Xenopus tropicalis: one gene and its partner. The protein of the gene in region 2 purifies or fractionates together with the protein of the main gene of each other region. This does not show direct contact. Links are inferred from orthologs where the notes say so. Each region holds a gene or a part of one and is shown on either strand. Other genes may lie near its edges.

Region 1 (15,966 bases), on a different chromosome or scaffold from region 2:
ATCTAAAATTTTCTGTATCGATTGACTGTGCATGGGGTTTACTATATTATAAAACTAAAAAAATCAAATGACCTTACCGCTGACAGGAAATTAAAATTCTAATTACTATTGGTTTAAGTGTGTACAACCAAACACACCAGATCAAATAAAAAACACTTATACATTTTAACCTGTCAAAGGTTTGGATTTATAGCCAGGCCAAAGCAAGACAGGGAGAACTGCTATAAAGGTTACAGATGTTAAATAAGTAGTCCCCCCTTTTTAATTCAATCTATTTTGTATTTGTCTTCTCCTTTTGTTTTGCTGGGGGGGGGGGGGGGGGAGAGGTTCCATAGTCAAAGGACAGATATTTGCATAGGCGTAACATTTTTTTTTCTTTTTAATTATTTCTTAAAACTGGCCATACACGTAACTATTTTTATCTCCTTATCGACCAATTTCAGTGCGATCCAACAAATCCGTCAAATTATCATACGGTTAGGGGGCACCGGCGATCGTACGTCTATCAATTTTTCATTGGCAGGTTTAAAAATGTTAGTCATGATCAATGAAATGAATCCACGGTCCAATTGTTTGCAGGACCAAGCAGGTAGATTTCCTAGCTTCAACTAGACAATATTGCTTGAAATGGTCGTTTTCATTGACAGACAAGTCGCACTTTTAAGATAAGCTTGGTTGTACTATAATGAAAACATCTTCAAAAAATCTACACGTGTATGGCCAGCTTTAGTCTTCCAGAGCAAACGCGGGTTCAGAGCACATAATTAAGGAACTAGCGCCCTCTAGGGTTCAAGTTTACTTACAGCAGCGTAAGGGAAGAAATTACACAATCACTTAACAAGGCTGGTGTAACAATATTTTTTGCACCAGATTTCACTGAACTGTGGTGCTGCATCTTGAGTCTTTTGCTGGTTAGAACCGCTGTGTTTGAATTCTATAATATGGTATACTAATGGCACACAATGCATTTTCTCCATAAGCAGAAAAAACTCATATGGGCCATTGCTGGTGCGTTTGCAGTATCTGACATGAATGGCATCCTTCTGTAACTGCACACATACGGTGGATTTCAGCCAAAAAACACAAGCACTTTCTGATCAAATTTTTGGCTTATTATACAATGAAAGGCGGATGCCGTTCGTGGCACTTACTGCATGAATGGGCCAGACATTGGCTGAACTGGCTTGTTCTCCACTGGAGGGCAAAATGCATTATTGTGCCATTAGCCTAAGGGGTATGGAACACAAGGTGTTGATTGTTGCTACAAACTTCCTGGTGTATTGCAAGAAAATAAGACTGATAAAAAAAAATTCTGCTTTAAGTAAACCCCTTTATTTCTAACATTTAAAACCATTAGCTCATAGAAAATGATTTTTCTTTACAGAATGGTTGTACCTGTACTGTGTAAAATAGGCACATATTAGACTGTAGGGATACGGAGGCTTAGATAATGTCAATACCAGCATATGCTTTATATGGAATAGATTTACAGACTCATTTTATACTAAGAGCCCAATATGCCTACTGGGCATGACTCTGCTTTCTGCCTAAGATTCTATCATTGGTTAAGTGCTGGTGACATTGCCGCCTTATCACTGTCCGAAGGAGCTGTGCATAACATCACAGAACCATCATTTGCCCGCAAGTCATGGGCGGGTAGCCCAATAAGTGAGGTAAAGCGAGAGAAGTGGTGAATTTAACAGCATGTTAATAAAATAGTCTCTAACACTCTGGCAAGGAAAGGTACTTTGTGGTAATCAGACACATAGATACACTATTCATTTTATATACAAGAGCACTCAGTGCTAAGCATGCTCTGATCCAAGGACAACTAAAAAATAACGAGGTAAACATATTTATCCTATACGCCCATATAGTATCTGTAAAAATTCTCTGTGGTGAAGCAATAGTTTGAATAGTTTGCCTAAGGCATCAGGAATTGACAAGCAAGAGAGTCAGTTTTTACAGATGCTGTTCTAGGGGTACGATATGTAACAGTCCAGTAATGGTTAGGTGTTCATTTTACCTTAAGGCATTGTTTACATTTACATTTTTGGTTGCATTGGATTGCATCTTCAACTATTTCATGCCTCTTGGCACAAACAACTGTATCCTGGAGGCTTTTGGCCAACAGTGTCAGGAGGTAGGAGTTATATCATGGATTTTTGAAACCGTTATGAATCCACAATGCCCAGAACGGAAGGGTCCTTTTGAGATTGGGATCTTAGGGGTCCATGTCCCCACAGGCATCTAAACAGTTACATTTTGAAATTGTAGAGTGCTCCCTGTTCTAAGCAAGCATAACATGTTTTGTTAAGTATTAAAAGATTTAAAATAGATTTGCTCATATTCCTGACTTCTACAAATAAGTTCCTGAGCAATGCCTTAAATCCAGAGATTTTGAGCGCATTCTCTGAGGCCCACTTCCTTCCCATATTAAGTAATATGGATAAATCTGCTATGATTAAATTTTCATTTTGAGATTTCTAACTGGGGGCCAAGGGGAAACAAAATATAGGACTATGGGGCACCACAGTTATTTCTTAATAAACACAAGTTACTTTGATTAAGATCTAAACCTTGTCCCTGAAACATAATCATTTTGTGGGTTTAAAGATGTTTAACAGGGCTATATGTTAATAAAAATAAACCTGCTATATCTGTTCTCTGGTGCAGGACTGTCTGGCCTTTATGCATGCACTCTCAATCAGGTGTTCGCATGTCTCTGGTGTCAAGATGTCACCTCCAATGACATTGCTTTTGGCAGTGTATTTGACAAGCAGGATTAGGCTGATTTCAAAGAGCAGTTGTCTTTATTATACAATGCCACCTCAGTCTCATAAAATAGCAGCAGTGTTAGGTCCAGAGACTGAAGTATCTTTTCTACAGCATGAAACACCTTTACGTTCTCTTAAAGACATAATGCTAATAACCACAAAATAGCAAAGTGCCCTACCAAAGCCTCTGCAGTAGCAAAGCAACATATCGTTACACTGCCAATCAGGAGAGTTCTAACTAAGATAAAGTACACTTTTATATTTCTCTAAAGCCACTGTTTTTACAGCAAGTTATTAAAATATAGAAACACTGGAAAACTGACAGTGTGTTAATCTCTAGTTATTCTGGCCAACTAGTGCAGGGATAGACAGGCTGCTGAATGTCAGCTAGGGCAGACTTACAGCTTACAGTAAGTAACACAAAGCTGCCAATCCCTGCCCTAGAGGGAATGATGAAGGAATATTGGAAGTGTGTGGGGACAAATTATTAGGGAGCACTGGCTGAATCAGTATTACTACTGCAGATAACAGCAGGAGAAATATCATCTCTGCCTACTCCAGAAAGATGATGGTACCTGTTTGGCACCATGTTGAGTCTACACAAGGAATCAAACAGCACTCAGCCACAAAACAATGTTCAATCCACCATACTTTGCACAGTGGTGACTACATTACTAGTTTGTGACAATCTTCCTCTATGATACAAGGCTACTGTAGGTATTAAAAAATAAAAGGAGAACAGAACTAAAGTGTGCATAAATATTTGTGCATGCTCATAGGCACACATACAAACCAATACACACACTTCATCTCTGGAGAGGTAAGCATGGGACTGCGCCATTACATCCTTCTCAGAACCTGGGACCGAGGGGCCGAGACTGTCCTCCTCTTTCCCTCAGCCTGTTTGCCTTTAACGGCACCTGTCAGGACTGGTTCTGGTAAATTGATGCTTTGTCCTTTAGAAGATCCAGACAGAGGTGACAACTCCAACTTCCTAAAAGTAAAATAAAAGCAAGAACGCTTATGTAAACGGGAGATGCAATGTAGAAAATAAAAACAAAGATGACAGTGGAATACAAGCAAATAAGAACACACACAACAGGGAAGTGCTTAAGGTGGACAACACTAAGCAGAAGGCACATGGTATTCTTTACCTTCAGGTGGTTCAGCCATAGGCGGCGAAAGGCAGTACATATGATAACCACGGTCACAGTCGTCACAGAACAGCAACTGATCCTACGGAAACAGGGAGCTCAGAACACTTCTAGGATAAGAGGAGAAACAGGGCTTGGAGCACCTAAGAACCCCCAAATCCAAACTAACCTTTTTTACAAATGGTGCAGATTAAGCTGCCCAGAATGTACAGGTACATTTAAAGGGACAGTATCATTTTGAAAACATTTAATACAGAGATAAACAAAGTGTGTGATGTAGCTAAGGTTATGTCTCCAATCTACTACCACCCGCCTTGCTTCAAATTGTTAACCCACTGCCACTGTGTGTGTGGGACAAACCCTCTGTACAGGGAAGAAAGCACAGCTGAAAGTCAGAAATCAGAAACATAGCCTGAAACCTTAAGTCTGATTTACTATGTCCCCAAAGGCTAAGGCTTGGCCTGAAACCAATAATCTATGACATAATTCTTAAAAAAAGATGCCCCATGCAATCAACAGCATGCCTACTGTTCTTTATTGCAGAGGCAGTTTCTCAAAAATGTGCATAATTCAGTTTATTTCTGTTTTTAAACATTACTTTACAATCTCTTGATCAGGCATAAAATCCCCAATATTTTTTTCTCCAGCTCTCTGCAAACAAATGTAATATTTAATGTATTTACTGCTAAAGCTTTCTGTAGTAAAATATTTTTTGAGCAGGTATTTCCAATTTTATACTCTATCGCTTGCTGTACGTTATTGTAAAAAGAGACTGCTTTTTAATTAAATAATGTGTAAAATTAACAGTATGTTAACAGTTTGTTCATTACTGGTATGCCATTATAACTTTAACTGACCATATATGTTTTACTATAGAGTCCCAACCCCTACTTCTTGCCACTAACCTTTTTGTTTTTCTGCCATTATATGTTCAGTTATGACTTGGCTTTATTGAGTTTTGTTAATTTTTTTTTTTTTTTTTTGAAGAAGCAATAAAAAAGCTCAAAATGTCAACCCTAACAAAGAAACTCCAAAATCTGGGATCTGTAAATATTAATGATAACGTCCCTTTAAATGTGCATATGAAATAGCAACATGGCCAATTAAGCATAGCATTAATCTGACCATTAGTGGACCTGGGACATGAGTGAACCCAATTCTGTGCTGACAGGGAATAGTAAGGAATATTCCCACAACAAAGTACAGGCCATTGCAATTTTTGGCACTGGCTGCATGCCAGTTTTTGCTGAAGAGCAAGGCTTATAATGTCATCTGCAACAGGCGGATATGCAATGGAACTAACAATCCTCTAATGTAAACAAGGTAAAATGCATATATAGTACTTGGTAATTAAAGATTTAAAACAAGGCATAAGGTTATCCCAAATGCAAGTTATGCAAAATGAAAGATATAAACAGGAGCTTAATACAGGGAAGTTCATAAACAATTAGCAGCAAGTAATTACTCACGTCATTCTCAGAGGTTCCGCAGATATTACAACATTTGCACTCTATGCACTGCCAGCGATAAGTCTTAACTGCCGCCATCATTACGGGTGTGAACTGCAAACAGGAAGGGTGCCCTGTGTCCACAACATAGTATGTAAGTGAATATTTTGCATACATATGTATCCAATATCTGCGTTCATCCAAAAACTAAAAAATACCATATTTCTGCTGACCTCTGCAACATGTGCATAGCAACCGGCTGTAAATCTCAGCAAGCTAATCTGATATTTCTGACCTGAGGATCAATAACTCAAATCATAGGGGAACTTTAGAAGGCAAGCTGCCAAATGTTGAAGGGAGTTAATTTGCTGTACAATGTTGCTGTATACATTTGTTCTATGGATGTACAAAAAAAAAAAAAAAAAAAAAAAAAGCAAAACAAATGATGGTGCCCCAATCCTGTCCCCCCGCACAGCGCTTAATCTTTAGTGTCGGAGAAGGTAAAGGTGGTGCCACATCACTAGTGCAGAAAAGTGCTATTGCACTCTCTGCACTAGAAGAAAAATAAAAAATTGTAAATTTGGCTTTTTGCTACCACTGTTAACTGGCCGGCAAAGTGGTTTAAAAGTTCATCCCCAACATTCATTTTGAGGTCCACAACCCACTTAGCTTATAGCAAGGTTTCAAATGAACCCGTTTTTCAGTTTTAAGAATATCTAGGGCTGCAAGTAAGTCTTCACTCCTCACTTAACCCTTCAATGGGGATTTCAGGAGTATCTAAAGTGCAAAAAAAAGCTCTCACCCTAATTGGCTTGCTACTCAGAAATTGCCCAACTTCCCCGATCCCCCATGCCCCTCTAAGTGGATGAGGCCCGCAGTTAGCCAAGAACTGCTCTAAATTATTAGCAGAATGCACATTTATATAGCTTCTAAACATATATATGCATCACAATATCCCATTTTAGAATATTTAAATTGAGAATTCCTGAAAAACATTATAGTTCGGAATTCCTATGAGTGTTAGGACAGCCCATTTGGGCCTTCAACTTTTAAATGCAAAAGCTTTCCAGTTAAAAATAAAATCAGATGCATCATGTAGTATTAAGTCTTCATCAAATACTAGAGTCTTCTTTTAACATACCAGAGCGGCCGCAGTCTGAGCAGGACACAAGCTCCTCAGCCTGGTTTGTTTTCTTGTTAATCTTAGAGTCTCCAAGGCAGAAGTCACAATAATTGTTTGGCAGTGCAAGACCATCTGGGCCCTTTTTGGCTGGGAAAAGATAAAAGCATCAAATATGTTGAAAAAGGAGAACAAGAAGGAACAAACTTAAAAAAACTATTTTGAATAACCTAAGTAATGCAATCCTAAGCAATTTTTGATATATACTTTTAATGATATGAAATGTATTTGTAATTGCTATTGAATTATTTGTAATTAATGAATTTGTAATCGCTTTTGAAAGCAACACCTAAAACAATGGTGCCCTAATCTACGCTACCATGGGCGACTAATCTCCCCAAAATGCTTTCCCACTAACAGTAAAGTGAATTGCCGGTTGGAAAGCATACATGGTGCTTCGTTTTCTGAAGTTGCCCAAACATTTCCTCTGCATTCTGTGTAGATGCCTAAACTTACATTTTTGTTCCTCTGGTCTCTGCATGATAGGAGTGGGAGGCTGAGAATCCTCCTTATCTTCTGCCCCGGCACCTTCTTCATCCACAAGGTGTGAGTGGGCATAATGATAGCTCAAACCAGGCCTGTTTTTATAGCGTTTTCCACAGACTGGGGGGAAAAAGCAGGACAGCAGAAAATGAAGAGTAGAAAGAAGTAATAAAGCATTAGTGCAATGATAAACATTAAAAAGAGTCAGGTGAAAAATCACTACCCCACCAAAACAGGAGGATGTATAACAAAGCAAAGCCACAAGGGAAACTGGGTGGCAGGAAAGGATAGTTTGCAGGTGTTTTACATTGGGGACAGATGTTACTGTTACAGTAAAAAAAGGTCATGTTTTCACAAAGAACTTAGAATGTATTTAGTAATTCAGCAATAATTTTGCAATATCAACCACTTTTTTGTGCCATAAGCTAAAAGACACCTACATAACTCAATATGCTTTATAAGGTGAAAGTAGAAAACATCATGTACCACACAGGAGTACCAACACAATACTGCCAGATGTAAAAAAAAAAATAAAGTTATTCTTTTATTGGAGGTACAGGTCCAACAGGCAGATCAAAGATCAAAAATGATTTTCAGTTTTTGAGATGATATTTTAAAGATGCCAGCTAGGATGGCACTGGAATGTCTGTGTGGTTGGTATTCAAAATCTAAAAGTGCACCTCCAAGTAAACCTCCCTGGACTTCAGTCTTCATGCTACAGCTTTTGGTTTAGGTATTTTAAATTCCTGTGGCTGAATATTTAGAAGCAGTTTGCCTCCAGGCCAGACTTTTACCAGCATAACTATAAAAACCTTAAACTTCTGCTTTGGGGTAGCCTGCTTTTAAAGTGAGAAAAAAAGCAAACAATGTTATTGAATTACGAAGCAGATAAATACCTCTGCACTTCTGATCTGGCAACAGAAACATGTGTTACACAAGGAGTAAGGAAGAGCACACAGACAGACAGAGACTAATCAGTCAGGCATGTTACATTGCCCCAGAACTTTGAGCCTGCTTGTTGCACAACATCCTGACCTGGGCACATACCTTACCAATTTAAGGTAAAAGGTTGTCCCAGATCCGGAGTAAGACCCCGATTTACATATATGGATGAAACAGTACCCTGAAATATATGTTTGTGTGACCCTATGGGTCCATTTCTTGATAGGTTTGTTTCTGCTACCTATTTTAATGATGCCTTAAGTCCCTTTAGAACAGAAATTATACGGAATTCTTAAGGTGGCCATATACTAATATTTGCTGGTAATGACCACTGAGCCTGTGGGCCAAAGGACGGATATTGTATTGTATCCATAAAAAGTGCATCCACCTTTCTACCATCTCAAATGACAGAAATCAAAAACAGTAGGAGCCGTGGCCAGTTGGGGGTGGGTGGGGGTCCTGAGATTAAATCCAGCAAAACCCATATATCTCTAGTTATGCCACTGGCTATGGCTTTACCTTCCCTTTGACAAACCAACCTATAAAAACTGATAAAGGATATCAGCCAGAAGTATTTGACAAACATATTTGAACTGAAGATAGGATGAAAAGCTTATCAGTATGTTTATGGCCAGCTTTAGAGGAGCATCTTCATGGAACATAACCTCCATTCCCAACACCCTTAAAGGAGAACTAAACCCTAAAGATGAATATGGCTATTTTATACTTTTTTTTTTTTTTTACTAAACTGACTGTACTAGCTTCAAGTTTTAGTATCTCTACAGTAGTATATAGTAGTATAGTAGTATATAGGTCTTTACAGTTGCCACAGGAGCTTCCCATCTTGGATTCTGTTAGAACTGTCCTGGACAGTGCACACGATCAGTGTTTTCTTGGCAGCTACTGAAAAGCTAAGCTTAGGGGTTGTCGCAAATGATCAAACTGAAAATGAGGCTGGCCTGTCAAACTGATGCTACAGGTCTAATTATAAAATTCTGATGCAAACTGCACTGGTCCCAGAGCTGCCATATAATGAGAATCTGAATTACTAATCAGCATTATACGGTTACATTTATATTCTATATTATTCTAAATTATCTGCCTGATGAGAAGCCAATGTGCCAAGAGAGAGAAAAAAAACAATACAGCTGTGTGATGGCAGATGAGCACAGGCTTACAGAACCCACTGTGGGAAATGGCATGGGTAAAAGGAAACATGCTAAGCTGCAGTGCAAGGGGGTGGGGCAGTGAGCAAGATGCTAATTTAGCAGTATAAGCGAGCACGTAGAACTACCTCTTTCGGAGAATTTCGAAGTTTGCTTTAGTTTGTAACTGTCTGAAATAAGGAAAGACACACAGAGAAAGAGAAAAGAGAGGGGTAAGTAGACTACCCAGACAAGAGCAGAGAGAGCAAGTAAAGCAAAAGGTGTGTGGCTACAGTGGGATGACCCAACACATTTATTCAGCTTCTTAAGACATTACACTAATGTAAACAGTTTAAGGATGACCAACCTGTAAAATGGCAGAGACCTGTCAGACGAGGACTGCATTAACAGAGCAAGATGGTACTTCCCTGACAGGTCTCCATAGGGTGCAGTATGATCCAATCCTTGCATACCACATGTGTGGCCAAGCAGAGATTCACTTTTTGCAACCTTAATCAAAAACCACTTATAATATTGTAATTTCTGTATGATGTATATGCTAATAGAAGGGTTTAGAAGGGTATCTTTTTAATGTGAAATATTTGTGTTACTGTTCCTTTAAATAGACAGTATAGTCCCCTTTGTTTTATTTAGGAAATATTTATGGCTTTGGCTATTATTTGCAATAAAGAGGTACAATGTGAAATAGAAAATTCTACTTCCTGTTCACAAGAGCACAAATAAAACAAATTGGCAGACCACAAAGAAACCTTCTGTATAATGAGCTGCTCCTTATTACAAAGGCAGCTGGGGGGAAGTTATATTTTGGACAACAATAGTTTTTGCCTGTTGCTTTAATAGAAAAATATGTTCAGCGCAAGCCTGTGTCATTAAACCTGTGATCTGCAACCAGTGGCCTCAAAGCAGGTGCTTATTTTTGAATTTGTGGTTTAGAGGCAAGTTTTGGCTGGGTGCTTGCCAAAGAGAGCCTCCTGTTGACTGTCAGTCCATATAGGGAATACCAATTAACCAATAACAGTCCTTCTTCGGCACCCAAGAAATTTTTTTATGTTTGTGTTGCTCTCCAACTCTTTTTACATTTGAATGTAGCTCATAGGCAAAAAAGGTTGGGGACCCCTGCATTAAACTAATGATAAAACAGAGGTTATACTGCCTCTTTGGGGCAACAGAAATCAAGGTGTTTTGTCACCACTGCTAAATCACCTTTCCAATATATATCACCAGCTGCTTGTCAGTTCAATAGGATTGTGTGAAAATGCTCCCTTCGACATTTTTGTGCTGTTATGAAAGTGGGCTGCCAAGCAGATGGCAATATACCCTTCAATAGAAGGGTATTTTTAAGGTGTTTTGGGGCCTGCAAACGAGGTGATTTTGTAAAATGCCTTGTCTGCCATTACCCTAAAGCTGGGTTGGCCAACGTTATGGTCTCCTGCTTTTATTCTTTCCAACTGCAACTACTGGTCGTCTCATTGGCTCATCACAGTGCAACAGTTAAAGAAAATATAAATTAATTTAAATATATAATTATTTAAAGAATGGTTCTTAAGCAGGGCCAGGAATATACTCACCATCCACCGAATTTAACAGCACAAAACCTAAAACATACATTACACAAAGGCTAGAACATTACATGCGTAAATGTTTGGGCACCCTTTGCAACTTTGTATGTTAATCATTTAGCAATGCCTCACAGGGCACAAAACTAAAATCTTTCTACACATTTTAATGGTTAATTTTTAGTAGTCCTGTCTGATGTAACTAGCAGCAATAAAGAGAAAGCTACATTAGGCAGAAAGATTGATGTTTGGTGCTAATTTTAGATGGGAAATGTCAAAGGGATGTTTGTTGCTAATTTTATTGGGAAAATGTCAATGGTGGAAGTTAAAAAAGCGAGCAACTAAAAATAAGGGACACTGTCTGCAGCTAAACCTGTGTTAAAAGATGGTCATAGGTTATGGGATCCAACCAAAGACTACAAAACAAACTGCTATTAAGATTTGAAAACCATGTTCCAAGGCAAACAAATGAGTGATGAGATAATTGTGGTGAGTAAAGGAGAAGAGACAATAAGTGGATTCTGTATTAAAGGATGCGGAGATGCTACTACATGTACAAAGGTAACATTCCAAGCTTGCAAAAATCTTAGTCTTGACAAGACTAGGTGTCCGCTTTATTTAAATGACTTTAAACAATAACACCAGAGGAGGAGGTAGAAACAAACATTTACAGAACTGCACTGCATAGCCATCTAAAGAAATACTAGTAAACACATAACTATGGTTTGGTGCTAGAGGTACGTTCAGAAGAGCTAAAAAACTAAAAGTTATATAACTTTATCTCTAGCACCAAACCATAGCTGCTGCAAATTATTTAGCAAAGCACAACATAAACTGGCTGTTAATTAAAAAGTAAGCCTTTCAGTAAGACAATAAAGGCGATAGATATGGTTATAAAGAAAAGGTAATGGGCTAGAAAAATTTAACTTACTGTCACAAGCGTATGGTTTATCCCTTTCATCCAGGGCAGCTGCATCCAACTTTTTTCTTGCACCACCTATACCTTTGCCCTGTTTTAAAACAAAAACAGTTTGTCAATGAGACATTACAATAATTTCAGATAAAGAGATATTTGCATGTTTTTTTAAGACAACAAACTAAGAAAATGCTCCTGTTCATTAGTCCTATATTAATTGCTAGAATGTTACTAAATGTTAGTAGCACGTCAGAGTTGCAATGTGCCTACCCAGTCTCCCCCTAAGTTCTGCCACAGTTAGTTCCCACCATTATTCGGCTGCCACCTCCTGCAATGTCATTTCTGGATTTGCCTGTGACAGGCTAACTTTGTTAGGGGCAAGAGGTGCTTGGGGAAAAAGCATATTAAAATAGTTCTAAATACAGTCTGAACTTTAAAAGAAGCAATTAATTATCACTTGAGCTCATAGATCTTTAAGTTAATCATACACACGTTTAATATCTTGAGACTATTATTATCCTAGATATACAGGTCCTTTTCAAAAAATTAGCATATTGTGATAAAGTTCATTATTTTCTGTAATGTACTGATAAACATTAGACTTTCATATATTTTAGATTCATTACACACAACTGAAGTAGTTCAAGCCTTTTCTTGTTTTAATATTGATGATTGTGGCATACAGCTCATGAAAACCCAAAATTCCTATCTCAAAAAATTAGCATATTTCATCCGCCCAATAAAAGAAAAGTGTTTTTAATACAAAAAAAGTCAACCTTCAAATAATTATGTTCAGTTATGCATTCAATACTTGGTCGGGAATCCTTTTGCAGAAATGACTGCTTCAATGTGGCGTGGCATGGAGGCAATCAGCCTGTGGCACTGCTCAGGTGTTATGGAGGCCCAGGATGCTTCAATAGCGGCCTTAAGCTCATCCAGAGTGTTGGCTCTTGTGTCTCTCAACTTTCTCTTCACAATATCCCACAGATTCTCTATGGGGTTCAGGTCAGGAGAGTTGGCAGGCCAATTGAGCACAGTAATACCATGGTCAGTAAACCATTTACCAGTGGTTTTGGCACTGTGAGCAGGTGCCAGGTCATGCTGAAAAATGAAATCTTCATCTCCATAAAGCTTTTCAGCAGATGGAAGCATGAAGTGCTCCAAAATCTCCTGATAGCTAGCTGCATTGACCCTGCCCTTGATAAAACACAGTGGACCAACACCAGCAGCTGACATGGCACCCCAGACCATCACTGACTGTGGGTACTTGACACTGGACTTCAGGCATTTTGGCATTTCCCTCTCCCCAGTCTTCCTCCAGACTCTGGCACCTTGATTTCCGAATGACATACTTTGGACCACTGAGCAACAGTCCAGTGCTGCTTCTCTGTAGCCCAGGTCAGGCGCTTCTGCCGCTGTTTCTGGTTCAAAAGTGGCTTGACCTGGGGAATGCAGCACCTGTAGCCCATTTCCTGCACGCGCCTGTACATGGTGGCTCTGGATGTTTCTACTCCAGACTCAGTCCACTGCTTCCCCCAAGGTCAGGAATCGGTCCTTCTCCACAATCTTCCTCAGGGCCCAGTCACCTCTTCTCGTTGTGCAGCGTTTTCTGCCACACTTTTTCCTTCCCACTGAGGTGCCTTGATACAGCACTCTGGGAACAGCCTATTTGTTCAGAAATTTCTTTTTGTGTCTTACCCTCTTGCTTGAGGGTGTCAATGATGGCCTTCTGGACAGCAGTCAGGTCGGCAGTCTTACCCATGATTGCGGTTTTGAGTAATGAACCAGGCTGGGAGTTTTTAAAAGCCTCAGGAATCTTTTGCAGGTTTTTAGAGTTAATTTGTTGATTCAGATGATTAGGTTAATAGCTCGTTTAGAGAACCTTTTCATGATATGCTAATTTTTTGAGATAGGAATTTTGGGTTTTCATGAGCTGTATGCCACAATCATCAATATTAAAACAAGAAAAGGCTTGAACTACTTCAGTTGTGTGTAATGAATCTAAAATATATGAAAGTCTAATGTTTATCAGTACATTACAGAAAATAATGAACTTTATCACAATATGCTAATTTTTTGAAAAGGACCTGTATATAGCACCAAAATGTTCTGCAGCACTTTAAAGAGTGTAGCTTACAAACCCTGTCACATTCAGCCACACACACAGACTGGTCAGTTTTATCAGGATCTAATAATTCTGCCTTTAGTGCCCTGGCTGGAATCAAATCTAGGACCCCAGCACTGCAAGGCAGCAATGCCATCTACTTTACAACAGTGACATTATGGTCAGCCTTGACCAACTGCACACTGCAAAAATGTATAGCAGTTCTGTCTTAGATTGCATCATATAACAAAGTTTAAACACCAGTTTGGTGTATCTTTACAGCACACTAAAAAGCAAAGCTGAATTGTGTATTTATAGACATATGTAGATCATCTAGTAATCTGCCGATTGGCTAATGATCTGAAGAATTATGTCCAAGTGCCAACAGAATAAAGAGACTGGATTTTCCAATGCAGTTGGTGGAGGAATGTTTAACCAAATCTGCTCAATGGTCTTAATGTATATATGATGCCACTGCTTGGTGTGTGGAGTCTTATTAACTGGATATTATTTATCTGAGGCTGTTCATCAGCAAAATTGTATTTGTTAACATGCACTGGAGCTTTCATACTATTTTATATGTAAGTAGAATATATCTACAGCCTAAAAAAGGGTACCTCCAGTAGCCAAAGGGTCATAAAATAGTAAATCTGTTGTATAAATCTTGACGTTTATTCTTTAACAATGTCACTTTAGCAAGCTAAAGTACCCAAAAGAGTATAATTAATTGTTCAGTATAACGGCAAAAATAAATAAAAATGCTCAAAATAAAATCTTTCAGCCTTAAAATAGTTACAATGGTTAAAGCAGCAGCAATGTTTTTTGTAAACAAAAAAAGTAATGTTTTGGGTGTTTTTACATAAGTTATATTTTGGACAACAATAGTCTTGACAAATATAAACCACTATACAAGCGCCCACACAATGTAATTTGCCATTTTTAATTTTATGTGAATAGTCAAAGACAGTCACAGGGTAAAACAGGGGAGGGTGTGCATATTTTTTATTCATTGCTGGAGTGTTAATATGCCTAACTTCAAAGATGATCAGTGATAACTGGGTAAAAATTTGAATGTTTTACCCCGTTTGAGGGCACAAGTGATTATACCAAGTAAAGCAGAGATTTTAATTGTCAAATCAAGCGCTGTAAGCAAATAAAGGTGAATAAAAGACCCAAGTTATGCATGTATGATCACCTCTATAACGCAACCATCAGCTCCCCCTCTAAACTCAGGGACCCTGTGGTGTGACATTACTTTAACATCAGGCTTTGCTTAGATTAAATAATGCTAAAAATAAAATTGAGCCAAATCCTGAATTTGGTAAGTGCTAATTGACATCCCTTATTTCTATAGGCCCAAAACAGAAAGGACATTGAGAAAGTTTTCTTTATAACCTTTGGCTGGATACAGAAGCTCTGCTACTTAATTGCCATTTAATACATGATCATCCTGCCTTCATAGCAAGAAGAAAACTAGTCTCCAATGACTGGGTCTGAAAAAAACACATTATTATTATATTATTCTATTTCACCTTGGCTTTGCCTTTTCCACGTCTTTTTGGCGTGTCCTCTTCATAATCCTCATCATCCAAGTCATCTAAGAAATCATCAGGCTCCAAGATACGCTAGGGGAATAAAAGGATACAGTTAATGTAAAGAAAGGCAAGTCACAGATTGTGGTTAATTATCCTACTTCTTCTAACCTGAAAAACACTGCAAAAAATACCATATCCTGTATACATTTAAATGGAAGCAGCTTGCCATGTCTAAGCATTTTGACCTATGTCACCGGCATTTTGACCACTGCAGTGCCTTAGCATCTGCTGGAGAACTGCAAGGGTCGATATCCAAAAATCAGCCATCACCACTTTTTCCATAGCGACACATGTTAAACATTCCACCTATAGCAGACAGAGATGGTTACAGAAGACCATGCTCAGAAATGCTGAAGTTAGATTTATCCTGGTTGTTAAATTTTAAGCATTTTGACCACCAGAGTGCATTGGTGGTCAAAATACCCCATGTGACATAGGTGTTACAAGGATAATATAGTAAAGATTAAGCATTACACCCTTTGTGCAAAAACTTCTAAACTAGGCACCGTGATTAATAAAGCTACCAACAGCTACTAAGCATGCATCAGTGACTAAATGCCCAAGCGGCTTAGAATCTAAAAGCCTATGATATTAGAAATGGCAACCATTTGTCAAGGTTCATGATACAGTTCTGTCAAACAAATA
Region 2 (16,131 bases):
TAATAATGTATATTTCTTACTGTTATAGCCATCTTGTACTTCTAAAAATGTTAATAAAAACTACTGAAAAGAAACAGCTTAATGAAATTTCCTAAAGTAAAAATAATTTTTACTCAAATAGATTTTTTGTGTGATATGTAATGTATAGCTAAATGGATTTTTTCACTTGAATGTTTACCCTGTGGAAGTTCATATACATAAAATTTCAGTTAGTCCCTTAGGGCAGTGGTTCCTAAAGTGTGGGTGGCTACTTAGGGTGATATTTGGGGAGAAGGCCTAAGTTGGGGGAAATTCAGGGGAACTGTCCTAGTTCAGGGGTTGTGGTACTCCATATTCTTAAAACTATGGCTTAATTACTGATATAGCAATGCTTTGATAAAACTTACCGGTATTTTGTGCTAAGTGGGTGCTGGACAAATTTTGAAATTTAAGACTATGGGGTTTAACCATATAAGTCCTAAAACTGTGTGTTAAGGTATTTCATATATAACAGATAAAACTCACATCACACTGATTTAATTGCACTAAAAGTAATAGCCTGCATGTATCTACACGTATAAGTGTTTTACTGCCTAAGGGTTGTAAGAAAATTAGGAACCTGAAAGATTTTTCCTATTGTAGGTTATCAAAAACTCTTCCTCCAGTTCTACCTGCATTATGTTTAGGCCAACCGGTTCCTGTGCCTTAGCTTTTTTGCCTGTGACAGCAGCCAACCTGGTTAAAGGCAGGGAAGAGATACCATTGGCTGGAAAAAAGCAATGCTGGAAGCCCCAGGGTAAAGAAGGACACAGGAGGGGCCTGCTTTTGGCTGCCAAGGTTTTAAAGGATCCCCCTGTTGCAACTCCCAGCTAGGAGAGAGGAAAAGACTATCCAGAAGAGCTGGCAGATGTCTGAGCAGATGCTGAGCTCAGGGCCGCCATCAGAAATCACGGGGCCCCTCACAACAAAATTTTCTGGGCCCCCCTCCCACCAGTACAAAGGACTCACAGACATGAGACATTGGTAACCAGCGGGCCCCCCAATGCATTAATAGCCAGCAGTGCCCCCTAGTACATTGGTAGCCAGCTGTGCCCCCTAGTACATTGGTAGCCAGCTGTGCCCCCCCTAGTACATTGGTAGCCAGCAGGGCCCCCCTAATGCATTGGTAGCCAGCAGTGCCCCCCTAATACATTGGTAGCCAGCTGTGCCCCCCCTAGTACATTGGTAGCCAGCAGGGCCCCCCCTAGTACATTGGTAGCCAGCAGTGCCCCCCCAGTACATTGGTAGCCAGCAGGGCCCCCCCTAGTTCATTGGTAGCCAGCAGGGCCCCCCCTAGTACATTGGTAGCCAGCAGTGCCCCCCACTAGTACATTGGTAGCCAGCAGGGCCCCCCTAATGCATATGTAGCCAGCAGGGCCCCCCTAATGCATTGGTAGCCAGCAGTGCCCTCCCTAGTACATTGGTAGCCAGCAGTGCCCCCCCTAGTACATTGGTAGCCAGCAGTGCCCCCCCTAGTACATTGGTAGCCAGCAGGGCCCCCCCCCTAGTACATTGGTAGCCAGCTGTGCCCCCATAATGCATTGGTAGCCAATGGGATTACCCGCTGACCACCAATGACAGGGCCCGGAACTGATTAAAGGAGGCACGAGCTACTAAGAAAACTTTAGCATGGCCGGGCCCCTTTTAAAGTTAAAATCGTCCAGGCCCGGGACCATTGTACCCCTGTGCCCCCCTGATGGCGGCCCTGGCTGAGCTCAGCCAGGAGGTGAGGTCTAAAGCTACAACTACAACAGAGAGATCCCATCCTGTTTGCTGTCAAAGTTCTACATGCCCAATAGGTGACCGGTTCCACTGAGGAGAGTGTCAGAGCTGTCTGTGAACCTGTGCAGGCCCTGGTAAGCACCCAATATTCATTGAGGGGAAGATATTGGCAAGGGTATTTTATTTGCAATTGAGTGAGATAGAGTGCTCTAATTACATTAGATGCCTGGTGCATTGAATTTTTACATAAAGTTTATTGCTGCTGCAAATCTCACTATTTCCCACCCAAGTTTTGTCATGGCAGCAAAATGCCAGAAAATACCCTACCATAGACAATTGTCATAGACATAGACAATTGTCTCGGTTAAAATATTGTGAAATAGCTTAAAAATGCATAGATCCCAGGTTCCCCGTTCCACAGGTTTGTGCCTGGTCAGGGAGTTTAATACTATTCTAAGGCATTGTGCCAAAAAAGGTTTACACTGTCTTGCTATTCATAGTCTTGGCGTAAAGTCTTCTTGAGGGGATGGCAGTAATGTATATAATCTAGAAAGGGAAGAGAAACAAACCAAAATCATCTCAGCCTTACTTACGGTCACTTTAGGAGCCAAAAGCGTAGTTCCTTTTCCCTTACTGTCAAAAAGGGGAAATGCTGAATCAGGCCTGGATTTGTGGCCACAAAGGCCTGGGCCTAGGGCGCAGGGCTGGAACTAGGGGTAGGCAGAAGAGGCAGCTGCCTAGGGCGCAAGGAGGATGAGCCTAGTTCCAGGCCAAGCATACAGTCACCATATTTTTGCCCCATTTTAGCAATGCTAACTTTAATTGTGCATGCCGCAGGCCAACATGCTGTAATGCTAACATCCATAAACATATAAAGATAGTCTGATTTATTTAAGAAACTGTTGCACACCACCCAAGAACCCCAAAAACAAAAAAAAACCTACTCAATGTCATAAATTAGAAAAGAATCTCAACATTAGGTATTTATAGCAGGATTTTTGCTATATATTTATAATTTACAGCAATGGTGTGAGGAATAGGATTGTGCATATTGCAGAATCACTCAGTTCTATAGCATACATTGAGAAAGCTCAAAGGCCACCATTCATAAAGAAGATAATTGTAATATACTGACCAGGATACATATACAGAGTTTTTGTTGCAGTGCTGCAGATGTCACCTCCGCTCTCCTCATTGCTGAACCTTGCATTTCCCAATGTTTTGATTAAATTTACTTCTTAACCCAAACTTCTCCTCAGAAAGAGAATTTCATCGCCCACCATTTGATTCCCATCCTTTTATTTCAGTCAAGTCAAGGGGTCAAGGGGTTGGTAACAATACGTTATGTGTACTTCTTGCTGTACTGCTGGCTGCAGTATATGAGTAGCTGATTCATGGTGGGTAGACCAAATTGCTGCTGGTCAGTTCATGTTAGTGGCTATATTTGATATGCTTGGATGGTCACATTTGAGGCTAACACAAGTGTCTTTGTACATTTGCTGAGCCATTTGTATTGTCAGGCTCTGTGTATTCAGGCCTGCATATTTCACGGTGTTTTACAATCCTTGCAACCTAGATTTATGTTTCAGGATAAAATCTCTGAAATGCCGACTAGTGTTCTGCTTCTTTTATATTAAGGGGCATATTTATTAGAGGTCAGCACAGTCAGTAGGCAATTTCATAGTACTTTATTCACTTGTATGGGGTTTTTGAGGGCATATTTATCAAAAGGTGGAAGAAAGGCAGGAGGGGAACACACTGTGTAACACAGTCAGCTGAATCTGGAAGACTAAATGGGTATAATGGCATGTCTTAGGATACCCAGCACTCAGTTAGGCTCATTTATCAATACTAGGCAAATTTGCCCATGGGCAGTGACCCAAAACAACCAACCAATCAGTGATTGTTTTTTTCAGGCAGTTGCAGGTAAAACAAAAATTGTAACAGTTTGATTGGTTGCAGTGGGTTACTGCCCATGGGGAAATTTGCCCAGTGTTGATAAATGAGACCCAATGTGTCTAGGCAACAGGTGTCTTTGTTTTGACATCACAGCACAGCGCTGCGTACATAAGTAGCGCTTTATAAATAAAGATATACATACATACAAGACGCAACTGCACAAACGGATAAAGTATTTATAAAGTGCCAACATATTCTGCAGCAGTGTTCAATAAATGGGGGTATGCACTGAACATATATATTACAAATAAAAATTCAACCAATACAAGTAAATAATATACCAGATTACCTTGTATCTAATTCATTTAAAAACATTCATTTGGAATTGTGATTGAATGGTATAAATGTGCCCTAAAGATGTATTCTATTTCTATTGCTCATTCTCATTTGTTGGCAGTAAATCTTCTCTGGGGAATTTATTGCATTTCATATAAATGTCATGCGTTTGCAGTCATTGCAGTAACAGGATTGATTAGAAATGTCCCTGATTTCTCAGTCTGCAAGTTAATATGTAGAAAGTGCTTAACTTAACAGTTTTTAAAATGAACCATTTTGGAGGAAAGGTGGTTTCAAAGCCTCTTGTCTCTGACATCTATGGAAGTTATCATGGACCCATGCAGGGCCAGTAGTCATGGAGCTACCATTCCATATACAGACTGTATATCCATTGCTAACTACATTTATGTCACTATATTGGGCTTCAGATTTATAGTGAAGCATCCCCAAGGCCAGTGTGTCAGGGTGAAGACACACTGGGCTACTAGTAGCAGCTACTTTTTCAAGGTTACTAAACGCCAGAAAATACCCAGCCATAGAGAATACTGAGAATTGCCTCTGCTAAAACACACAGAGACAATTATCAGTAAATGATCAACATTGCCTATTTTAGTAGCCACGACAAGTAGCTGCTACTAGTAGCTCCATGTGTCTTCACCCTTCACCATTGTTAAGCAGTGATCCCTTTGTGGGACTTGTTTGGTTATGTATTGTAATGGGAAAAATATTTACGCCAGCACACCCTTACCTCCTCCAGAAAATTACTACTTGGTGGAGAGCCTAGAGAGTCGGCACTCTCCACACAGTCCGGTCAAAATATTTCAGCCAGCACAACAAGTAAAGTGCAAGCAGGGCTTAGCCCTTGCGTGTTTATTCAAAATGCAACGTTTCGGGGGCGTACCCCAAATGCCTGACGAAGGGGTACGCCCCCGAAACGTTGCATTTTGAATAAACACGCAAGGGCTAAGCCCTGCTTGCACTTTACTTGTTGTGCTGGTTGTGTATTGTAACCATTTGCCTTGCTGAGCAGCTCAGTTCTCTGCCACTCAAACTCTTGGACCGGAATGTACACACAGAAAAGATAGTGGTGAAAATACAAAAAGACCTCTAGGTACGTGATCCATGGCTGTTTACTTATAAGCGCATAAATTATGTGCAAATTCTCAGTTGCAAAATAAGGCAGTACAGGGGCACAGCGGGAGAACTGAAAATACCACATGGTTAATGGTAGATATAGAGTACTTGGGTGCCTTGTGCATTACTATGCAAGTTTGTGTGCATTTTTGCAATTAGTGTTGCGCCCATCAGTTAGAGCACCATGGTCTTTCATTTTGTTCTTTGGAGCAGAATGAGAAAACCATATGTCCAAAAGTATCCAGACTTTCGGTAAAATGATGTGTTTAGACGTAACACTCACCGCTGAGTTCCTGTGTCTAAAAGCAATGTCAGCACAGGAACTATTCATACTAAATGTGGGGTTTCACCATGTGCAAAGCAAGCATCGGCTGGAGAGATGTACAGGTCATAGGACTGTAGAGCAATGGTGTTTCACTACAGCAAACTGGCAGATAACAGGAGAACACTGTCTGCCCATAGTCTGGCCTATAAAATGTATAGTATCTCTTCACAATGCTTTACTCACAGCTTGTTCCTGTTTTAGGTAATAGGTTACAGAATGCAAAGCTCAGTTAGGAGGTAATGCATGCTGTGTGAATTAATATTAAGGTGACACCTTTCTCTTGCATCTCTATTTTTTTAATGAAACATGTTTAATAAAAAACAATGCAGACTGGAGTTGGGGGGATCTAATAACGCTGACCGTATTAAAACACACATTAGCTATAAAAGTCTCCTGATGTAAAGCCTGCCCCCCCGCCCAGGAGATACCTTCTCTCCATGGGAGTCCACAGGCAAAGATTAAGCCAGATTGCTCTGCAAGCACCCAACAGGGAAGCAATCATTTTAGTTGGTGTTTCAACAAAATAATAATAGAAGGCTGCTATTTTCCTATAGAAATGAGTGCATTTGGGTGAGCTTACATTTGGGGATTGGGCAATGTAGCAAGTGCACACACCTCTGCTTTGATAGTTATACAGTGGAGTTCAATATGTCTGCCATTTTCTGTATAATAGTCTGTTCCATTAGTTATGCTTTAATAGTGTCTAGCTTGTGCACCAATAAGGCTGTTTTTCTGGATATATAACCTTGTGAATACAACACAAGTAAGTTGGCACAGGTCTGACACTGCCACCCAGTGTATATTTTGCTGCATGTGTGCATCAAATCCCGTCAAGCTGCTAAACTGTAACGTGGTAGTAAGTGAATGCTTGCATCGATGGGGGCTGGGGCGCATTTGCACTAAAATATCCAAAATTCCAATTTTAAAATCCGAATTTTGGCTCTTGAAGTTACCAGGAGCAGATTTTTGACATCACTCGCAGAGAATGAGTCATTGATAAGAGAGATGGACGTACGTCTTTTTTCAACCTAACTTACTATGTTACTATGTAGATGTATAGCAAATACCAGGAACAGAAGATATTAAACAAAACTCGTTTATAGACAGGACGTACTAACATTTGTCATACTGTGTAATAGCCCAAGGACATCTTTATACAAACCAGGTCCCAACTGGGATTCAAAATAGGTCCTGGCATTTCAAGTACACATTGGCCCAGCCTTCCACCAGCCTAATAAATAGTCACCATCAATTTAATGCAGCCCCTCTGGTATTTGACAGAATCCACAGATTGCCAGTCTGGGCCTGATACAAGAGGATTGGTTCTTTTTAGCCAGGCATGTCATAAACACTGGGGTTAGATTTCAAATAGTGACCAGAATGCACCTGCAGTCTAATGTGGGTAACTGGGGGTCAGATGCACAAAACAAAATCAAAGCAGGTATTCCCAGCCTATTGCTGCAGTATTCCATTTACTACTACTACTAGGCCAGTGGTTACTGGTCAGCAGTGACTGCTAACAGAATGTACCACCCCAGGTAAAATCGGCTTGTTGGAAACTACATTTTAATGGCATGTTAACTTGGATTAAATAGACTTGGACTGGGTAGCATGGTGGTACTATTTTAATGGAATGTGTTCAGCGCGTTTCTCCTGCTGAAACTAATATTAAGTACTCAGTAATAGCTCCAAGCTAATATAAATAAAAAGATAATAGGATACCAGCAGTACAAGATAGGCATAATATACAGAAAAGGAAAGCTATATAAAACTGATGCTAGCCTGTTATTTGTTCCTCGTTTCCTGTTGAAACCAGACAGAAGTACTAGTGGCTAGCCTGATCCAGATTGGCTAAGCATTTACCTCTTACTATCAGTAATAGCAGCTCCTTACTCCTACTTCTCTCCTTGGCATGGTTTCTTTTTTACTGTGGAATTTGTTCAGTTATATGAATAGTTAAAAATAACCTGATCACAACCAGATTGATTCATTCATTACTTACTGTGAAACAGCTGATATTTGTAAGAATTGGGAAAAGTGCTTGGATGAAAATACCATACTTACGTAATTTTGTAAAATGTTCAATAAATAATTTAACCCAGGATTTTACCCTTGTGGTCTATATGTGCATGTATGCAGTGCTGCATTGATATTAGTGTTATTAATATTCTACTGGTTAGCAAAGGGCAAGGACAGCTGTGCTTTAATTGTTGAAGATAGATGATTCTATCTGATGAAATGTTACCAGATAAATGTGAAAAATAATTATATATTATTTGACTTGTCCCTAATATCTTCCTTCTATTATATGTATTTATTTATCTGGAAGGAATATAGTTTCCAAGCATACAATACTAGGATACTCATTAATTGTATACATAAAAACGTTGAAAAACCATTCAGTGCCATTCAGGTTCTATGATTATTGTTTCAAATGTATACTTAGTAATGGAAAGAGTTAACTTTTTTTTATGCACAATTTTATATTTAGGTTTACAACCTTTTTTTTTTTAACCTATTTTGAGTATAGGTTTGTATGTATCAGCCATGTGTTGGTATGTCTGGTTATTAAGTAACTCCCTTCCTAATGGCTTTCTTCCAAAGAAAAATAACACATGAGCCAAGGCAAGTACATGTGTACACTAACAGATGAGAGAAAGAATGTATTGTGCACTTATAACAATAAAGATTTGTAATTTATTTAGGACTACTACTATGATGTTAATATGAGACTTGAACAAAGAAGTAGCACTTGAATGTCATGTATGTCATGGTATGCTTACTATGACATACATGTGAAATGTTGGGCAATATACTGAAAACAATAGTAAGGGCCCATACATATAACGCTATAAGCAAAATAGCTGCACTCCTACTCATCTGTTCGTGTGAATCTCTGAAACAGCAGCAGTGATCATGCAGAAAAACAAAAAACTCCTGGCATTTCAAATACACAAAGGCCCAAACAGCCCCCTACTAGCCCAATAAATAGTAACTTGATATAGCATCTTACAGCTGCCCCTCTGGCATTTGTCAGAACTCACAGATTGCCAGTCCCGGCCAATATAACTGCACTTGCACAATTCTACAAATGACTTCTGCCATTTTAAAAGGGAAAGCCAGAGTTTGTCGATCACAGAAGTCTCTTCAGGTTGTTGCCACGACATGTGCAGCCAGTTGGACTCAAGAACCATTAAAACGTAAAACTGGTTAATAATCTTAAAACATACCTGGTAAATGTAATGTGCATTTGCAGGAAAGAACACACAAGTGATTTCAAAATTGCTGGAATTTTATTTGCCTCAGGCTTATGAATTGCAACCAAAGACATTGTGCAAAGAAAGCAAAGATTAAGTACACTTTAGGAAAAAGCTGATTATCCACATTGGTAACAAAGGTCAGTTTAAAGAAAGGGGAGGAATAAGCATTCTGTTACACTATATAGAGTTTGCAACATTTGATAACAAGTTTAAACAAACTGTGTAGTTTTTATAACATAAAATAGTAAAAGAAAAAAAAGAAGACTTTAGCCATATAGTTTAAATGTATAGAAGAATTTTGCAATCAAAAGCTTTAAAACAGGGGGAAACAAATGGGGTGGTGGGTGGGAATATGTTTTAACGCTTTGTGAACTGTGTGAGCCATTATATGCGGAGCAATGTTTTACAGGCCCCTCCAGCACCCAAAGGGTTAACCCATACATAAGAAGTTGCATATATGTACCACAATGATTAAAAAAAAATTAAAAACAAAAAACACGAATACTGAACCACAGCAACGTAGAAACTGCTAAAATTGCCTGAAGAAAAATAAAATAGCCAGTTATATTTGTTGGTGTCTTGAATGACCCGCTACAAAATATTCTGTTTTCAGCTCTGCAGGGTTGGTGGCTGTCTCTGAAACCGTTGCCACGTGAAACTTGGCCCACAGCAAGAACCAACTGATCCACAGTTTTCCATCAAAGCCTGGGTTACTTGCTTCATGTCGGAGGCCCACTTGGTCACAATATGTTACAAAGATTTTTATTGGTGTACACGATGATACCATGTTTGGTTGGCACTATTCTAACACTACTTCTAGATGATGAAAGTACAACCCCAGTGTTTATTCTTAGAAAAATTCATTAGGATGGTTTGGAATTTAGAAATGTAGAAATCTGACCAGAAATCAAGTCTTGTGTCTTGTAAGGATCATTCGTCATCACTTCCACTTCCTTCTGATGGTTCCTAGATAAAAAATGCAAGAATAACAAAATAAGTCTGTATTATTTTTACAAATTCATTATGAGCATCCTTATTTTAATTCATACCTTACACACAGTTGTTGTGGCTCTTTCCCTACTGGCATCTTATGCTATCTGGCAGGCATTCTGCTTACCAAATGATCTATTTATTTGGCAGGGGCACTAAATTAAGGGTTATAAAAATGGCACACACTGATTAAACAAACTTATACTGTTGGCACCCAGGCAGCAAAATGGAAAACCCCTCAACTATACATAAACAAACTTAAGGGCAAAATGATTGATATAAATACAAATGAAGTCACTTATGTACCGAGCTAATGTTTTGCTAGGTTATGGTTTCACAGTTGTTTTACTTAAAGCAGTGGTCATTGGTTGTTTCTTAAATCCTACCAACATAAAATGGTTAGATTATGTTGGGCAAGAACATCTAGAGATCCAATAAAAAAAATTCTGACTCAGAATTCTATACCACTACATACTGTACACATTCTAATTTGGGCTTTGGTGTTATGTGTTCTATAAAAGTTGCTTTCCCTTTGGCAAGGGCATATCATTTATAAAGTAAGCTGATTAAACTCACATTGTCTTCTTGATCTTCTTCACTGTCATAGTCACTCACAACAGGCTTGGCTTTGCCTCGACTCTGCCTCTTTTTTCCTTTTCCCTTTTCTCTGGTCTTGTCATCCTTCTTGCTCAGCTTGATTTTGACTTTCACGGACTTTGCTGTGAAGGAGGAATGAAACATTAGCAAATCATGTTTTTTTTATTGAATAAAAATTTACCATTTCTAACTAATCACGTTTTAAGCACTGCAGTATCTTTTCAGCGCAGAATACATTCTCACTATTTACAATCCATCCATGAGGCGTATTTTTCTCCAGGCATTGTACAAGCTGTATTCCGTGCCATCTGGCTATTCTGTTGTTTGCTCTAGATTTTGACAAGTCATATATCATATAGAAATGGGCTCTGGGCTTACAGATGTTGGATATTTGGGATGATCATCTACTTGGTACATTAGGCTGAATAATGACTGTGAGTTCAATGTTTATGGCACAAGTTGCCATACAGAATGCCACAACTCACCTGCTGTTGCCTCTTATTCATGTTAGTAAGCCTTTTCCGTACAGAACCTCAGGAAATTCCCTAGTGCTTTCACATGGTTCTGACCAACACAGGTACATATTTGATTTTCAGAATGTAAACCTTTTATATCAACTAACAATGGCAGAGGTGTTTCAGTCCCCACGGCTGCATTGCTAGTGCAGAGAGTGCAATTGCACATATAAAAAAAAACTGAACTTATTTGCTGCCTCCTTCCATCTCTTTGCAACTTTCAAATGAGGGTCACTGACCCCAGCAGCCAAAAAGTATTACTCTGTGAGGCTACAGTTTTATTGTTATTGTTACTTTTTGTAACTTTTTTTTTCTATTCAGGCCCTCTCCTATTCATAAACCAGTCTCTCCTTCAAACCACTCCCCGGTTTCTAAGGTAATTTGGACCCTATAGCTGCTGAAATTCCAAAGTGGAAAGCTCCTGAACTGAAAATGAAATAATTAAATACTACAAATAATGAAAAATGAAGATCAATTGCAAATTGACTCTTTACTCTCTACATCATATTAAAAGTTAACTATAAGGTGAACAACCCCTTTAAGGGCCCACATCAATATTTTTAGCAGTTTAATTTAGCCATCCAACTGTGTAGCCAAATTGCATTAATATACTGCCAAGTGTACTGCAGATACAGTGCAATGAGGGCAGTTTACAGAGCTTTAATAGACTGTACTCTTTTAAGTTAATTCATTAGATATATAAATATATATATCAATATATTTTGATATTCTGATGCAGTTATTGGACCATACTTTTTTTTTTTAAGCAAATCATATGGAGTGGAAGGAATACAAAATTTCCCCCCAAAAAATCTTGATAATTTAGTAGCCATACTGAGACTGATTTTACATCTTACAGTACATCTTATAGGTCATACTAAATGGACTGATAAACATTGTGACAAATGGCATTACATTAGAGAGAGCCAGCATTGTTGCATTGTAAGAGTTAACGGTTGCACTGACAATTTTTGTTGTTGCTAGTCAATGACAATTTATTTTGCACTGTGAAAATAGATTTATGCAGACTCTCTATGTAACAGCAACTCTGTAGTTTAAAAGTTGTATTTTTGGATTCAATGGTAACATTTTAAACTCTTACATTCAGATTCTGATTCATCGTCTTCATCATCATCTTCCTCATCATTGCTTTCTTCCTCACTCTCATCTTCTTTCACAATTTTTTGTCTTGCACTCCTGAAGACTGATTGTAGAACAATGGAATCCTCATAAATCTAATAAACAAAGCAAAAACATATTTTGTAGATACAGACCAAACTGAAATCTCCCAAAAAATGCCAGTGGCAGAGTAACTTAACCTACTTCACCCTATGAACTGTGAAATTCCACCGGCACATTTTTTGCTGCACAAAAATGAGATTTTAATACATTTCAAAGCAACTGCCAATCTGAATATGGTTTCAGTAGGAAGCAATTTTCATAGAAAAAGATAGTAATAAAAGATTGTATGTAAATGTAAAAATGAAATCAAATGTATTTCCCGACACATAGAAACAAGAAGTGCAATTCACAATGCAATGTGCTCTCCAGCTGCCATGGTCAGACCACAACAGAATGCTGCAATGTCGCGGATGTTCTCAACAGGATCAGAAATAACTGCACAATTGGATTGTCTATAATTTTGTAGGTGGTATATTTTGTAAGTGGCATTGCTATTAACACAACTTCTATATACTTTTAAAAAAAAGTATCTTCTAGGACTGGCAAACCATTCCCTTTTAATCATACAGAACAGCTACTCTTCCTTGTGCAAATGTGTTGTTATAGAAAGTTATACTTGCTCTTCAACTACTTGCCTGCTGTGGATTGTTAAATTTATGTTTTCAGTTTTCTATTTAATCTATGTTGGCTGTGAGATTAAAAACCCATGTTAGGATGGGGTAAAAAGAGTGAGGACCACTGCTACAGTCTGACAATTTATTGCAATAAAAGATTAATTTACGTATGCACCAAAGGCTAAACTGAGCTGAAATATTCAACATATATTAACAGACACTGTAGAGACTATTCAAAGAAACTGATGATATACAAGTTTGTGCCTGCATACTGTATACTTTCTAGAGCAAAAGCTTGGGATACATGTCCTATTACAAAATATGACAAAGAGCTGATTTACAAGGGAATAGAAATGTCATGGTTAAAGGGATCTGGCATTCGGTGGTAATAGCACTAATGAAAACATAGAACTAACCTGGGATCCTTCCAAATTGAATGTCTGTGCATTATGACACAGTAACATGATATCTTTCTCTAGATCACTAATACTTCTGTATTTGTGATTACGAATTCTCTCCTGTTAAGAAACAAAAGAAAGAGAAAAAAATGTAGTGAATTAGAAATGTAAATAAACTCTAATAAAGCATTTACCCTCCTGATAAGGGATCTTTTCCGTAATTGGGAAATCATACTATATGTCTACTAAAAATCATTTAAACCTTAAATAAACCCAACAGGATTGTTTTACCTTCATTAAGGATTAATTATATAAAAGTTAGGATCAAGTAAAAGGTTCTGTTTTATTATTACAAGAAAAAAGGAAATAATTTCTAAAAAATAAACTTATTTGTTTAACATGGAGTCTATGGAAGATGGTCTTTTGAACTCTGGATTATGGGTTTCCACATTATGGTTCATATACCAGTATGTGGTTTATACAAATACATATCTACAATATACAAGAAGCTCCAAGTGGTGATTTATGCTTTTTATGTCACCTTGTTATGGGATGGACTGGTGGTGCCTTTGTTATGCACAGACCTTCTCTGTAATATATCAAAGCCTATCAGCCCACTACATCAGCATGCTGTCTTATTCAGCTTTTGGACAGTGGCCTAATTGATCACGTTTTATCCAGTAACTGGAAGGTCTATTTACCTTACCACAGTTACTCTTGCCAAGATCCCTGGATATGTCCTTTCAATGCTTGGAGGTATCTGATAACCCTATGCCCCCCAGGCTCACAATGACTGCTTTAGTCTTTTGTCCTGATCACATCAACTTTGTGGGCTGTGCCTGGTGCAGCTTTGGAAGACCATTACTTATTCTTGATTGACTGGCCAAGCCACAATGTTTTATAAGTCAGAATAACTTTATGGGATTTATTTAAGAATTAAATGTACTACAGCAGTGCTGTCCAACTTCTGCGGTGCCGAGGGCCGGAATTTCTCTAGCATACATAGTGGAGGGCCGCTAATGGAAGCCAGTTTGACCACTCTGCATGCCCTACCCTGCCTGTGTGTGCCATACTCTGCCTGCCCTATGCTACCTGTGTGTACCATACTCTGCCTGCCCTATGCTACCTGTGTGTGTCATATTCTGCCTGCCCTATGCTGCCTGTGTGTCATACGCTGCCTGCTCTACTCCACCTGTGTGTGCCATACTCTGCCTGCCCTACTCCACCTGTGTGAGCAATACTCTTCCTGCCGTACCCCTCCTGCCCTATGCTGCTGTGTGTGCCATACTCTGCCTGCCCTATTCTGTCTGTGTGTGCCATACTCTGCCTGCCTGCATGTTCCATACACACAGGCAGTATAGGGCAGGTAGTACACACAATACACACAATGCTGGCACTACTCCACAGAGGTGTGAACAGGTAGACAATGGGGGTGATTACAGCCTGAGTCTGAGGTGTGAACACTGCAGGGGGTGAACAATGCAGGGATTAAAAGGTGTGAACAACACAGGGGATTACATTTTTAAACAATACAGAGGGATTACAGCCTGAATGTGAGGTGTGAACCATGCAGGGGGCCAGTTAATCTCAATTCTGATTCCATTTAAAGCTTACACAAAGGTAAGCCATCAAAGCAGCCAGACAGGTGGGGGGCCACACAGAGGGGGGTCGCGAGCCGCATGCGGCCTGCGGGCCGCCAGTTGGACAGCACTGTACTACAGTAAGACATACCTTTATTTTTTTGAAGTCAACGGGTTTGCGGATCAGTTCATAATACTCTGGCAGTTCTTTCCTAGAAGGAAGCTGTATGAAAACTTCACTAAGTTGCCTTCCGTTGCTGATAAAAAAAATAAAAATATATGTGTATTGAGAAATCATATGTTATGTAAAAAAAAAAATCCATAGACAACACATTTATCTCAAGAAAATTCACATTTTTTTTTTTACAATGTTAGTTTTTCAAGTATCTTTTCTATGGGCGGGTTTACCATGTTACTGGTTCACAAATATTATCAAAAAAACAAACACATGTTTTAAATTTTAAATCAGTTTGGGCACTGTAAACAAACTGAATTACAAAGACAGCTAAAGAATTTGTGCTTAATAGTTTCATAAAACCTATCAAACCCTGCTAAAAAGCCATTCTGTTTGTATTTCAAGAATACATGATTGTGTTTTTTCCCCAAGAAATTTACTTATACCTTCCCTATAAACCTTACTGATTCCTCTTAAGTCACTAATGAAAAATACAAAGGCTTCAAACAATTGTATATGCAAACTGCGCCACCTACTGGAAATTTGCATATGTGCCAAAAGAAATAAGACAAAGAAAATCCCCCAAAAACAAAAACCCTGTGTATGTTATGAAGTAACACATCAAAAAAATGAATGTAAAAAATATGAATGACTTATAAAGCACCTGACCTTTTTCTACGATATATTAGATTATAAAGCAAAGCAGATAATATGAAATATGCAGAAGCAACAGTAGCCTGAAGTCCTGACATTCAAGCTAATGGTGGATTTTAACCTAAAATGGATACCTTTCATTCAGTAATAATATGCTTAAGCATTAGAACAACGCATACAAAGGATATACAATAAAAATGATTTTATATGAAAAAAAGGAAAAAGGGAGAAATATAATACACATAATAGTAAGAGAACAGACATCCATTAATAAAACCTTTTAAAATAAATAAGAACAGGTTGCAAAAACAAGTGATAGCAATATTCAGCAGATATTTTCAATAAAATATCAATTTGTGACAAGCTCTTTGTTTAACACACAGAGAATGGCGGGCCTTCTAGCTCTCTCTCTCCCTTTAGACGCTGTCATTTTGTGGGAACCTATGATTTGTGCATAATACTGGGGCTATCAGAGCATTACATGGCTGCACAAGATAATGTCCATTTACACAGTATTGAATATAATCCTTGCTGTGCTCCCAAGCTTAGATGAGAAGCGCAGGCGCCAGGCAGGCAGCTACTACAGTTGCTAGGCAACGGGAAGATGCCTGCTGCAGCCAGAGCGGGACTGCATTAATGGGCAGCAGGGTGATGCAGTTCTGGGCAGGTGTTCCCATACTGGATTTTCGGGAACAAGCAGCACACGTTTATCAGCAGATACCCAATTTTTAT

The links.
Region 1: the proteins of smarca2 (region 2) and dpf2 purify together in Homo sapiens (affinity purification with mass spectrometry; 6 studies listed by BioGRID and IntAct, counting the BioPlex papers as one, with this or other methods). This does not show direct contact. The link is inferred for Xenopus tropicalis from reciprocal best matches to the Homo sapiens genes SMARCA2 and DPF2.

Annotation. Positions count from the first base shown.
Region 1 is NC_030680.2:32,322,282-32,338,247, forward strand, and holds part of dpf2 (zinc finger protein ubi-d4), read right to left. Parts: intron 15,352-15,966; coding exon 15,259-15,351; intron 11,717-15,258; coding exon 11,638-11,716; intron 9,321-11,637; coding exon of another isoform or gene 9,279-9,320; intron 7,163-9,278; coding exon 7,016-7,162; intron 6,650-7,015; coding exon 6,521-6,649; intron 5,514-6,520; coding exon 5,401-5,513; intron 4,042-5,400; exon of another isoform or gene 4,014-4,041; coding exon 3,932-4,013; intron 3,772-3,931; coding exon 3,701-3,771; 3' UTR 1-3,700. UniProt on the Homo sapiens protein: Plays an active role in transcriptional regulation by binding modified histones H3 and H4. Is a negative regulator of myeloid differentiation of hematopoietic progenitor cells. Might also have a role in the development and maturation of lymphoid cells.
Region 2 is NC_030677.2:128,179,768-128,195,898, forward strand, and holds the end of smarca2 (probable global transcription activator SNF2L2), read right to left. Parts: intron 14,828-16,131; coding exon 14,722-14,827; intron 13,111-14,721; coding exon 13,009-13,110; intron 12,032-13,008; coding exon 11,899-12,031; intron 10,404-11,898; coding exon 10,261-10,403; intron 9,661-10,260; coding exon 9,625-9,660; 3' UTR 8,706-9,624; downstream 1-8,705. UniProt on the Homo sapiens protein: ATPase involved in transcriptional activation and repression of select genes by chromatin remodeling (alteration of DNA-nucleosome topology).